Linked DNA regions of Drosophila melanogaster. The protein of the gene in region 2 interacts with the protein of the main gene of each other region in a pairwise test. Each region holds a gene or a part of one and is shown on either strand. Other genes may lie near its edges.

Region 1 (4,935 bases), on a different chromosome or scaffold from region 2:
TATAAACGACGCCATCTGATATATTTGGATTAATGGGTCAGCAATAAAGGCAGAATTTGGGATGTGAAAAATTCATAGTATTCATAGATCGATGATAATCTCAAAATGACGATGCTTTCGGTTTAAGACATACACATTAAGTTTATCGGAATTTACTCAATACGTATATACAGCCTATCCAAAAATACACATTTTCCCCACCTCTAGAAACTTCTCAATAAATCTCGGCTGCTCTGCATTTCCATAATTTAAGAGCAATTTATTGAATGCCGCAACGCTTTAGTCTGCCCAGGAAAAGCTGTCCCCAAACTGCATAAATTATTTTAAGTTCAGAGGAGTGGGAAACCGGGCGACTAGAATGAGTGGATATATCTCTTCGAGACACCAATAATCATATACATATTTGCCATGTGCAGCACGAATGTTGCAAAAGAAGATATATCCAGTGCTGGGACTGGAAAAATATTTACGTCAACAGGGTTAAGTGATTTTTGAAACCGCGTGTGATTTCATGATTTTTCTTGGACTTGCCAATTTAAGTCCTATAAAACTTAAGGAGTTATTTAATCAAAAACCATTTTCGCATGAAAACGTAGTTCTTAAAACTGAGGATGCACAATGTTATTTTTGTGTGCATATAACAGATAGTTTCGCTACCGTCACGTTACCAAAGAATATGTCTTAGCAGGGAAAAGAACGCGGTGAATAAAGCCACCGCTGGAAACACACAAATAATTATACTCATTCTCAGACAACAAATTGAGGAATTTTCAACACGTACACTTAAATTCTTCACTTTTCAGCGCACGTTTTTCCCGGCTTTCCACTTTCTTTATTGTTGTTTATTCTGTGTTGGTTATAGATACTGTCTTTTCTTTTTGTGCTGCTTTTAACCGCCGCTGGATTAACGATTGATGCATAATGGCAGAGCTCATAATTTAAATGCAAGAACAAAATATGTTGGCGCCTATGACGGCCACCAGTGAACTAACTGTGAACTACTGCGAACTCAAACTCTTCCTCTGTGCATTTCAATTCCCAGCCACGAATGAAGTGGTTCCGAGGCTCAATGACCGGTCCGCTTCACCAGCTAAAAGCACTTTGGCTCAACTTGCCAATTGTCATTGAATAAATTCATAAATCATTAGAGCGCCGCTTACAAAATCCGTGGTACACAATTCTCCAAAGTGCCATTTGTAATAATAAAATGTGCCAGCAAAAATTTTAAATTGTGTACAGGCAGCCACAGTAGCCAGATAAAAGACATCAAAACGTTGATTAGGGGCTTTTTGCAATTTAAATATATATTAATATATATCAATATCGTCATAAAATGATTTAGAATTACGAACTTCTGCTTTAACAGTTTTTTTTTGGGGCCATTTTCAATGCATCCCATTATCATGACAGATCAGATCAGAAGAATCTTCCCTTCCTTTGTACTTGACAAAACATTGTTCGCGGCTCGTCAGGACACCAAAGATTGATTAAACCCTCCAGATGTTTCCGAGCAACTTGCTCTTGGAGCACGGCACTCGGAAAAATTCAGCAAAAAGTGCTCTCAGTAACCAAACATGTTGCTTAAGGAAAAGAACGAAGCGTGGTTCGGTGGCGGGAAAAAGAACAGAGAACAACCACCCCGGTGAGGTTTAATTGCGGAAAGTTCATACCCCCGGCAAGGTCGATAGCAGTTCTCATATTGGCATTGAAAAATCGTATAGCAACTTTCGCGAGCAAATAAAATTGAAAGCATACATACATACATATATACAAGGGTAGAACTGACAGCGAAATCAAAAGATACATTTCTGAATCGGTAGCTGGTCAAGTACCACATCATTGAAGTTGGCAGCTTAACTTTAGCACCTCACTTAAGCATCCAATGCCTCCCCAGGCGAATTTGTTTCACATCATGGAGCGTCTGATGAATGACGCGACGCACAGAAGCCACCACCACCTGACGACCCTTACTCTCCACGGGAATCAGTCAGCCAGCAGCCTTAGCCAGATCCCTGACTTTTGCTTCGTCACGACTCGAGGTCCACCCTGCCCTATCTTCCTGCCGAATATGTTTACATAACATGGGCACATCGCCCGATTCTCTCTGCACGCATGCGGCCTCCATGAAGCTGCATTTAGGCCCGATGGTCCTGTAGCCATTTAGCCACTTAGCCGTCCCAGCTTGGTTAGCCGGCAGAAACAGTATTACAGCGTTAGTTTACGTTACGCACCCTGCGTATCCATAATCTGTATGTATCTGTGTAGCTTCGCTGAGTAAAATTCGTTTTTGCACTCGCGTCGAACCAGGCAATGGCGTGTGGAAGAGGGTCGTTCGATGAATTTGGCTGTAACAGATTTTACTTGCCGAAATGTAGTAAATGTAAAAAATAGTAAGAGTTTGTTACACCTGTACAGAGCACAAAAGTTTTTAACGGAACGATTTGAGATACCGAAAAACAATATGAATGATTTGAATTATCCATGGACAAATATATAAATCCAGTTTCCCCACCGATTAAGCGCACCTAGTTGGCAGTCAATATCAATTCCTGTCAAATAGGTTTACCTCCAATAAGCATCGCGATCACATCGCTTTACTTCGATCCACTTCCTCGGATACTATCCATTTAATTTATAACATTCTGGACGTACCTGCGCACTTTTTGCCCGATGCAGTGTGCCGCCCGTGATGGAGTTCGCCGTGGTCGTCTTGGCGTGCATTGCCACTGAATTTATAACGTACTGCGGCGGCTGTTGCGGTTCTTTCAGCTGTCGCTGCTGATGCTTGGCCAAAACCGATGAGGTTTGGGATTCGGGCAGAGTATGGTACGTTGCAACATTACTAATTGAGTTTTCTGGTACTCGGTTTTCACTTTGACACTCCATTAATTGTTAGCTCTTGTTAGGTTAGATGCCTTTTAGATTTTGATGCTGCCGCAAGTTTTTTTCATATCAGGAGCGTACCAAAAAATAAGCAGACCTACATTGAGAAATCGAATCTCTACACATTGGAATACATCCCAAACAAAAGCACGATTACGGACGCGAGTGTGAACCAGGTTTGCATGGCTGGCGACTCCGAATCTAACTAACTCAACCATATGCAACCTCAAAAGGCAGCCGGTCGTCCTTCGCCCACAGAGGGTGGCTTGGTTGACAACTTTATTTCGGTATTATCTAACGAGCAGGCGCAGGGGGAGCTCGGTAAAAAACGCTCACGGAAACGGAGAGTAAGAGAGTGCTCCTGTTAAGTAGCACAAAGCCCTTTCGTTACCGTACGGTAAAAATTCGTGGTATTCGGAGTTTTTAAACTTCAAATTTAATATTACACAATATTAATTTTTTAAATTGATTTCCAAGCATTTCAGTTTTTGATTACATTTTAAATCTTTAAAGAAAGATAAGTACACTATGAAACTAATGTTTGGTAAAAAAAAGTTATATCAGCAGTTAAAACATATGTATTACCAGAAACCAGTGCCCTCAAAATAATAAAATAACAAAATACTCATTAAAAATTTGGACGAAATCAAGAGGAGTACATAACAAAATACAAGTCATGTCCGCGTCAGTAAGAAATACAGTCACTAGCCAAGAAAATGGGAGTATCTTTAAAGTAAGTAATTACTGGAAGATCTAATTTGCACTTCTTACATAGAACACCGTTCCCCACGCGTCAAAAAGCGGTCCAGTAACTTAGACAACGAACTCAAAAAGAAGTCCGTGGTGGTTAATCAGACACAAGCCGAAGAGTCTAAGGCTAAGAAGAAAGATACTACGCACTATTACAGTGTGGAAACACTTGCCGACCTGCAGTATCGATCTCAGATAAAGGTGAACCCAAAGGACTTACAAACTCACCACCACTAATTGCAAACTCCCCTTAGGTTTTGGAAAAGATCTATGGCGAGGAGGTTGATATGACACCTAAGTCGATCCAAGATGACACCTATGTGGAGCAGTTCATGAAGTACAACCTAAATGTCATGCACCAAATGACTAACTTCACTACAATGGTAGCGAAGAGCACGACCAGATCCCGCACGCGGTCTAGTGTTCGGGCCGGAATAGGCGGCAATAAGCAGTCCATTGACGACCTGATGAACGGGGTAAGTTTATATAAACTTTTTTGTATCATCCCAGCGGGAATCGTCATTCTCCACTAGATACTTTATGAAACTATTAACTGGGAACCGTACAGCACTGTTGAGGCTCTCGAAGAGGCGTACGAGCCAAAGCCGTATACCAAGTCCTTTTTAAAGATCACCTTACGCAAGTCTGACTTCTTCGAAATTCACAGCCAGACGCAGACGACGGTGGCCAAGGGATCGCCCGAGGGCGACGATGCGGAGCGAGACAACCGAAACTACGAGTATCTGACAATAGGGAAAGGCAAAATTCGCCGGCGCTCAGACAATGACGCTCAGACAGATACTCTGCTCTTCACCACTCGGGCAGTCAACACCATCCTCATAACCAAGGCCACCGTCAGCTCTTACGTTTCCAACTTTGAGATGTACGACACGCTGAACAATATCACCAAGGAGTTCGCAACAGCCACTATGAGTTCGGTAAAGGACCTGACCTCGGCTCTAGCGCAGACGGAGGATGCGGATACCTTTGAGGACGACGAGGCCGTTGCCGAAAAAGACAAGGTCAGCAGCCAGATAGAGCGCCTGTTCCGGAGCCCCGAGTTTCGCAACGCCATCATGTACATGGGCCGCACGCTCTCGAGCAACACAAACGAGGCGGGGTTACGACGCTTCCGTAACTTTGACCAGGTGGAACGCTGGAACGCGGAGGCCGAGTACGTCTACTCGATGAACTTGCTCTTTCGGCTGGTACCGGAGCCCAGCAAAGACGAGCGCAAGGCCGTAAGCGACATTGATTTCTGCCGCAGCAATGGTGACATCCTGGCTGTAGCCTACGGACTGT
Region 2 (7,347 bases):
TTGAGTTATGGTTTGGATGGCCAGCCTTGGGAACTTTGGACGCGCCTTTCCTGGTGGCCCGATAAGGCCTGTTGGTCGCCGCTGGAGTGGCTGATAGTGCTGTACATTTCGCCGGCTAATCGGTATTCGTTTTGAATTCCTCGTTGAGATATTTTCCATCCGCACAAGTGCTTTTCCAGCTTATAAGTACTCCAGAGTGCCGTAATGTTAATCGACGTGTTTGCTGATTGGGCTAATTAGGCTAAGATTTGGTTGACATTGCTTTTTCTATAAGCTATTTACGGTCCCCCTAAGTGATGTCCAATTTTTGAAAGTCATTACGAAAGTTAAAAATATAAGAATCTTAAAAATACCCGTAGGGGTCTTTTACTTGATTTTAATACTTAATAATAATAATAATAATCATAACCTTTGTGTTGAAAATATGAATTTAATGCGAAGTAAAGTCTGCAAGCATTGTAAACCAGAGGTCGGAAACCTCTAAAGAGATAACATTCATTTGGGTTTAAGTAGTTTCTTTATTGTTATCATTATCTTTACATATACAAAATTGCAAAAATTATGCATTCATTGCGTTATGCCTATATCATTTTGTGAGAGAGTATGTTTGCTTACGATGTTTTTTGTTTTTTTTTTTTTTTTGATTAATGTATATTGTCTCTTCTATAGTCGAGTAAGTTATTGCATAGAATAAATAATGGGATTGGTAAGTAAATACAAGACTTTGGTAGTACATCAGAGTGAGGTGGCTCTTAAAGAGTTTTTCCATAAAAATATGATAACTAGTTCGTTTTGCATACGCGTACAATACTAAATTTAACTTAACTAAGGATTAAACGGTATTTGAACTGTAACATAAAGTGCTTTTGTGTTTCTGCTGAAATGATATATGTATACTCAGGCTGAGGTAGAGACAGCACGAAATTTAAAGATGCGGAGGGTCTGGAGACATTGTGGATAGTAGATAGGAGGTCCTGGCATAGGTTCGCTTTAAGTTAGTTCATTTGATATCGGCCAGAAACTTAAGTCCATATTATTTCACAGCTTACTGCTCGGCCATCATGCAAAACTTGTCGGCCATCAGGGTGAGCACCTTTTCCAGTTTGTTGTGCCGATCTTCGGCCTTGGCCGTTGCTCCGGAACTGCCCCATAGGAACTTGACATGGAACTCGGTTCTGTGAGGATATGGGAAACTTGAGGAAGACTCGAGAATAGTGTATTCTATCATATTACCGAAAAGCATCAGCTAGAAGCTCATCGAGCCGAGGACTAGCATCCTCCAGGATGATCTTGGCATTCTTTCGATACAGTTCCAAGTTCTTCAGGAAGCCACGCGATGCATCCAGGTGCTGGAAATTAATGGTCATGCCAAAGTCATCCGCTTTCGACTCCCAAGGAGCAATACAGGTGTGGTACAGAGCTGGGCGATCGTCAATGTTGGAGTGGTTTATGATGTCCATAACGGGTCGATCGATCAGTAGTGCATACAGCAGAACATGGGGAACGGTTGTGTTTGGAGCCTGTGGATTGGAGGCCTCGTTCATGATGCTCAACGTGGGTCGCAACTTGGCCTCGAAGGTGAAGGCGCTGTCCGTGTACTGTTGCCTCAGGATGTGCCAGGCCTGGTCGAGCTTTTGGATCTGAAAGAGGTGGTGGGACAATCGGTTATGATGTATCGCTCTAACAATGTAGCTTAATGGTTTGCAAACAAGTTGCCAAACTGCTAATTGCTCACGTGTGATTAACTGTGATAATAAAAAGATCATCTAAATCATCACTCGTTTGCTAAGCAAAAAACTGTGATGACCTAATGTACTTGTTTATACCTCTCGGCGTTAAACTAACTAAAAAGTAATTTGTTTTAGTGTACACTGCACCGAACGAGTATTCACCTGTTGCATGCACAGGCCCAACATGATGGCGCAGAATCCAAACAGATTGCCGAGAGCCGTCTTAGTTTCCACTGCGATCTGAATCCATTTACTGAGCAGTTGGGCTCGGTCCAGATCCGTTTGACAGGTGAGTATGGTCACAGCGACCATCAGCTTGATGCACTGCGTCCGCTCTATTATGTCCTCCCTAAAGACCTTTCCATGGGGCAGTGTTAGCAGCTCAAGACCCGAACAGCTCAGATAGTAGTCCTCCTCGTTCGACGGCTCCTCCAAAAACAGGGCAATGTCGATGCGAGTGATGTGCTCCGCCAGCAGCTTTGGGCCCGTCTCCAGAAGCATCATCTTGAACGTGTTGAGGGCATCGCCATCCAGGGGCTTGTTCTCCACAGATGGCAGTAGCAAAGTAACAAAGTTCTCAAAGTCAAACTTGCTTGCCTAAAAACGCAAATAAATGGTAAAATTAAGTTTTTAAAGCTAGCCTTTAACTTACTGTTTTAACTTCTTCTATGGCCATGGTGAATAGTTCTTCCTCAGCGGCCAGGACGTCGAACTCCGTGAAGCTCTTCAGCGTTCCGTTCGAGACCGAAGTGGTCATGAATCGGGGATTCTTGATTATCACACCCCGCTGTACGCTCGCCTCACATGCATCCCCTAGAGCCGAATCACCGGACCCGTTCCCCGAGTCGGATCCACTGGCCTGGTATGCCAGCACCGCTGCCATGGGTTCCTTGCGTGGCTTGGGCGGCGGACTGGGCGGCCGTGAGTCCGACGGCGAGTCCAGGCTGCAGTTTCTCGCCAGGCTCGAGATTCGGGCCACCGCTTGCTGGCGCAGAGCGTGCGCCGCCGAAGTGTTGGGTCTGGGCAGCGAGTGGGTTGTGAACTTGCTCTCCAGGTGCTGCTCACTGGTCGGATTGCACCTGGCGATTGTCTGGAAGCGCATTATTCCGTTGCCATTGCCATTCTCGAGCTCCTGCATCTGTAGTTGTTGCTCCTGAAGCTTGTTGATGTTGCTGACCAACATGGCCTGGGCCGGTGTGAGGCTCTGGGAGCGCTGTTGCTTCTTGCACGGCAGCCGCGGCGGTGGAGGCACCTCTCTACGCGCCCGCGGCGGCGAGCAGTGCGGACTGGCCGGTGAGCCAGCCATCGGCGAGAGCTGTTGCTGCTGCTGCTGCTGCGGTTCGAAGCGAAAGGTAGCGTTCATACCTGCTCCCACTGCACCATTGCTGCCCATCGGCGAGTTCAGAGGACTCAGACCTCGCAGACCGGCCAGCATCTGCGTGTGCAGTTGGTTGCCCACGATCTTGTGGCCGTAGAAGGAGAGCGGATAGGTGCGATTGCAGGGAAACTGAATGAGCGCTCCCGATGCTGACGAGATGGGCTTGCCGGATCCCACGTAGAAGGTAATTAGGTCGGGCACCGTATCGAAGGCATCCTCCTCAAACTGGTACTGCACACGTTCGTAAACCGTCTCCGGTTGAAGCACCAACTGCAATGCATAACCACATCAGATACTACTTGGTAAACTGGTACTCCAATGCCAAGAACAGTGCGAACCCACCTTATTAAGTACGAAGTGCAGTACAGCCGCTTTGCTCCGGCAACTGAGCACATAGTTGTCCGGCTGGGAGGCGCAGTCGCGGACCAGGAAGTCGCCTTCGCGCTGCACGATCTCCTCGGCCCGCTGGCGTGGCAGTGCGCCGTGGTACCAGGCGTGGGAACGCAGCTCCCTGGCGTCCAAACTCAGCTCCCACTCGAGCGCCTTCTTCAGGGCGATGGCCTCCTGTTGCTCGCTGGGACTGGGCTGGGCGGTGGCCAGCGGAGTGGTGGCATTGCTGCTCCCATAGCCCTCCATCCTGCTGTCTTCGATGGCCCAATGGGGACTGTTGCACTTGGAGCGCGGCCTCAGTTCCTCGTAGCTGTCAATGGAAAGACGAATGAGTGAGTAAATTTCCCTTATTTTGGGTAATTTTATAGTATCATAGGCCATTCCTCCCACAGGCGGCTTTGGGGAAATTTGCTCCCACAGGATTTGGTCCTTGGTATATGGACAACTCACTATATGTGTGAAGTTCAAGTGCAAAAAAAGAAGAAATCAAATTGCAGACCTAATGTTTTGCCATAATGAACTGAATGGAACTTCAAAAAACTTATATACCAACTAAAAGGATTTAGTTTTTTTAGGAAATCGACTTGCCTCTGTTATCACTCACCTGCTACGCCCATTTTGTAGTAGAAAATTTAGGACAGGACACACCCAAACCCAATTGTTCAGTAGTACGAAAGAACTCGATTCACCAGCTGCCTGAATAATACGATTTCTAAACAAAACTCTCCATTTGAAAATAGATAGACTTCACTAGCACAGAACTAGTCTCGAAAAAAAAAGGAGTGCAGTTTAAGGTCCTTCGTATTGTAGTAGTCTGAACTCCCTGCCGCTCGAATCTACTCTGAAAAGTTCACGGCAAAGGACTCGAGTGCGGTGCACTTTTGGGGGTTGGACACCGATTTCTGTGCACCACGCTACTCCGCGCAGTTTGTTTTGGGTTTTGTTGGAAAACTCTAAGGACGCCCGAAGTCACTTTTTTGGGAAATTCGCGGAGCATGCGCAGAGTCTATGTTATGATTGTCCATTGAGGGTAAAAAGAAATCTTGTGGATGTTGTGGAGGATGTTGAATATTTTAGTTTTAAAACTCCAACATGCCGGATGTGGTATACTTTTGCAACTATTATTAGCATAATATAATAGCATGGAAAATTTAAGAAGATTTTGAAGGGTTGAATTCTGAAATGCACACTTACATGGTGGAAGTCTCATCAAAGGTTAGTTGCTTCAGGACCTTGCCACTCTTGGTGGTAATCACGCCGGGTCCGCTATCGCCGCTTCCCGCCATATCTTGAGGATTCTCACCCAGATACACCAATGGACAGGAGTTCTTGCGCCGTGGCACTGCTCGCGGCGCACTGCTCATTGCTAGACAAGATACGAGTAGATAACTCAGTGGGGGGAACTACGTTTCACTGGCTTACCTTCCAGATTCATGGACTGCCTTCGCTTGGCACGAACACCCAGCAAACTGTTGACCATCCGCTGGCGATGGGCACCGCGCACGCCAAATTGCTTCAGCTCCTTGTCCGTGATGTCCACCACATCGTCCACGGTGCTGAACTCCTGTAGGTTTCCTGGTTAACATAACATACAGTCTCAATTGGGAACTGCTGATCATGCAAACCTTCGTACTGCTGCAGCTCCAGAAGGTCCAGCCACTCGCTTATGCTCATCCTAGAGTTGTGCACCATTACGGCCAAATCTTCGCGACGACGCACTGTGTTCGAGTACCGAAAGTTCCACAAAATGCCTACGAAGCGGTTACGAAATGTGTGATCATTATGATCAGAATCGGAAACCGTATTTTCGCCACTCACTGCTCCTCCGATTCGGCACTTGGCGGTTCTCCAGTTGTCGGGCTTGGGTGTTGCCCATGTTGCCCAGGCTATCTTTGCAAATCCAATGTGCAGATCTGAAAGATCTTTAAATTCTGGAGCAGTACCAAACACCTAAGCTGAAACTCAACCGCGCACTTCGCTTTGGGAAAAACAACTGAACGTGAGCAAATGTTGCCCAAACAGACTTCTTCAACTGAGCTGAAATTGCATATGTCATTCACCGACTGTTAAATACCCTAAAGGAATTACGCATATAATTATAAATCATATATGAACGTAAGATTGCAGCTAAAGTATGAGTAATATATATTTATTGTTTCTATTCTATTCTCTATTTAGTAATGTTCTTTAAATTCAGCTATAAATCGTTGTTATTTTTTTATAGTTTTCTATAATTTCAGCGGAGTCTTAAAGTAATTGAAAAAATGAACGAACTCAGCCAAAGAGACCGACAATGACAATAAAGCCCAAGTGAGTAAGATTTCAATGTCGTGCACCAACAATTTACCCTCACTGTTTTTCTAATTAGTGCTCTATATCCGCAGTGCCCCCTCCTCTCACTCCCCTGTCGCGATCCACCAACCGATCCGATCGTATTGGATAAACCCATTCGCACCCCCGCGCTTGACCAACTCACTCCAGTCGTATTTGCTCTGGCCATTCAGTCGCGTATCGTCTTTTATCGTTCACTTGATTAGAGAAGGTCTCCCCGTTGTCGCCGAGTTTCATATTCTGCTGATCGCAGCGGTATTTGCTTAATTAAAATTTCTGTTCTTGCCGCGTAGCATTGCGTATTTTTATAGCTTCATTCTATGGAATAGTGAATAATAAATTAATAATAAACCAAGCTGTGAATTCACAAGTTCATTTTACTAGAGAATTTATTTTAAATAGTTTACACATAAACGTTTAGATTATCTTACAGATTGAAATAATTTAAGTTCACTTTGTGCAGTATCTGTCTACTTTACATTACATTACAACTAGCAATGAAGGAATAAATACATCTACATGGCATTTTACACGTGTAAACGGAGCTATCTACATAGGCGGCTCTACTCCACCACATTGATTTCAATATTATCATCTTCGTCGGCCTGCTCGCTCAAATCCACACTGGAGCAGCTATCGGAACTGTAGTCGAGTGCCTCCTGGGGCGTACCATCACCGGATGGCGTGGATGTCTTGAAGACACCTCCGGATTCGGGTACTGCACTCGGCTGCTTCTCCTGGCCACTCTTCAGATTCTCGCGCGTGTGCCGCCACTTCATGCGACGGTTCTGGAACCACACCTTGACCTAATCAGGGTATAAAAATAATAATATATTGGTTTTTATAGAGCTATGAAAGGAGTCGAATGTGCAAATGTTAAACTATGAAAATCCCATCTTTTAACTAACCTGAGCGTCGGTGAGATTCAGTCGTGCCGCCAGCTTGCGGCGATCTGGCTTGGTGATGTACTTCTGCTGCTGGAACTGAATCTCCAGGCCCTTGCGCTGCAGATTCGAGAAGACGGCGCGAGACCAGGATCGCTTGCGCTTCCCATTGCTTCCGGCTGAGGCGTTGCCCTGGCCATTGCCACCTCCATGTCCATGTGCACCGTTCTGGGATGTGGCAGCGGCGGCGGCGGCGGGCGAGGTGGGCGCTATGTCCAGGAGCTGCTGCGGCGTCTTGCCCAGAAATCGCTGCTGCTGTTGCGTCAGCTGGAGGCTCGTGAGGCTGTGGAGCGGCGCCAGTAGCGCCGAGGCTGTCGTCGAGTTGTGTGGCGGGGGCTTGTGCTGCTGATGGAGGTGTTTGGGATGGTGCTGATGATGATGATGCTGCTGGTGCTGCTGCTTCTGATGTTGATGGAAGCGGAGGAGCGCATTGGTAGCCAGCGTGGGATAAGTGGGTGCGGCTGTTCGGGAATGGAATGTTAAAGTCAATTGGGAGATTCATACTTCCTTCATTAGCAATAACTCTTAATTTGTTGCTATACTGAATCCGGTGCGTTTTTTACGCACCAATTTG

What was found. Proteins that work in one complex are often made in the same cells at the same time.
Region 1: the proteins of CG9098 (region 2) and p130CAS interact in a two-hybrid assay, tested with the Drosophila melanogaster proteins (2 studies listed by BioGRID).

What each region holds. Positions count from the first base shown.
Region 1 is NT_037436.4:151,022-155,956, reverse strand, and holds the start of p130CAS (p130CAS), read right to left. Parts: upstream 3,074-4,935; 5' UTR 2,887-3,073; coding exon 2,653-2,886; intron 1-2,652. Other genes in the region: Dic61B (dynein intermediate chain at 61B), read left to right, coding at 3,560-3,616, 3,685-3,834, 3,888-4,109, 4,167-4,935.
Region 2 is NT_033779.5:6,006,863-6,014,209, forward strand, and holds CG9098 (uncharacterized protein), read right to left. Parts: upstream 5,477-7,347; 5' UTR 5,375-5,476; coding exon 5,317-5,374; intron 5,250-5,316; coding exon 5,124-5,249; intron 5,074-5,123; coding exon 4,921-5,073; intron 4,865-4,920; coding exon 4,693-4,864; intron 4,372-4,692; exon of another isoform or gene 4,103-4,371; intron 3,809-4,102; coding exon 3,451-3,808; intron 3,379-3,450; coding exon 2,383-3,378; intron 2,328-2,382; coding exon 1,893-2,327; intron 1,641-1,892; coding exon 1,234-1,640; intron 1,176-1,233; coding exon 1,046-1,175; 3' UTR 502-1,045; downstream 1-501. Other genes in the region: H2.0 (homeodomain protein 2.0), read right to left, coding at 6,393-6,635, 6,738-7,234.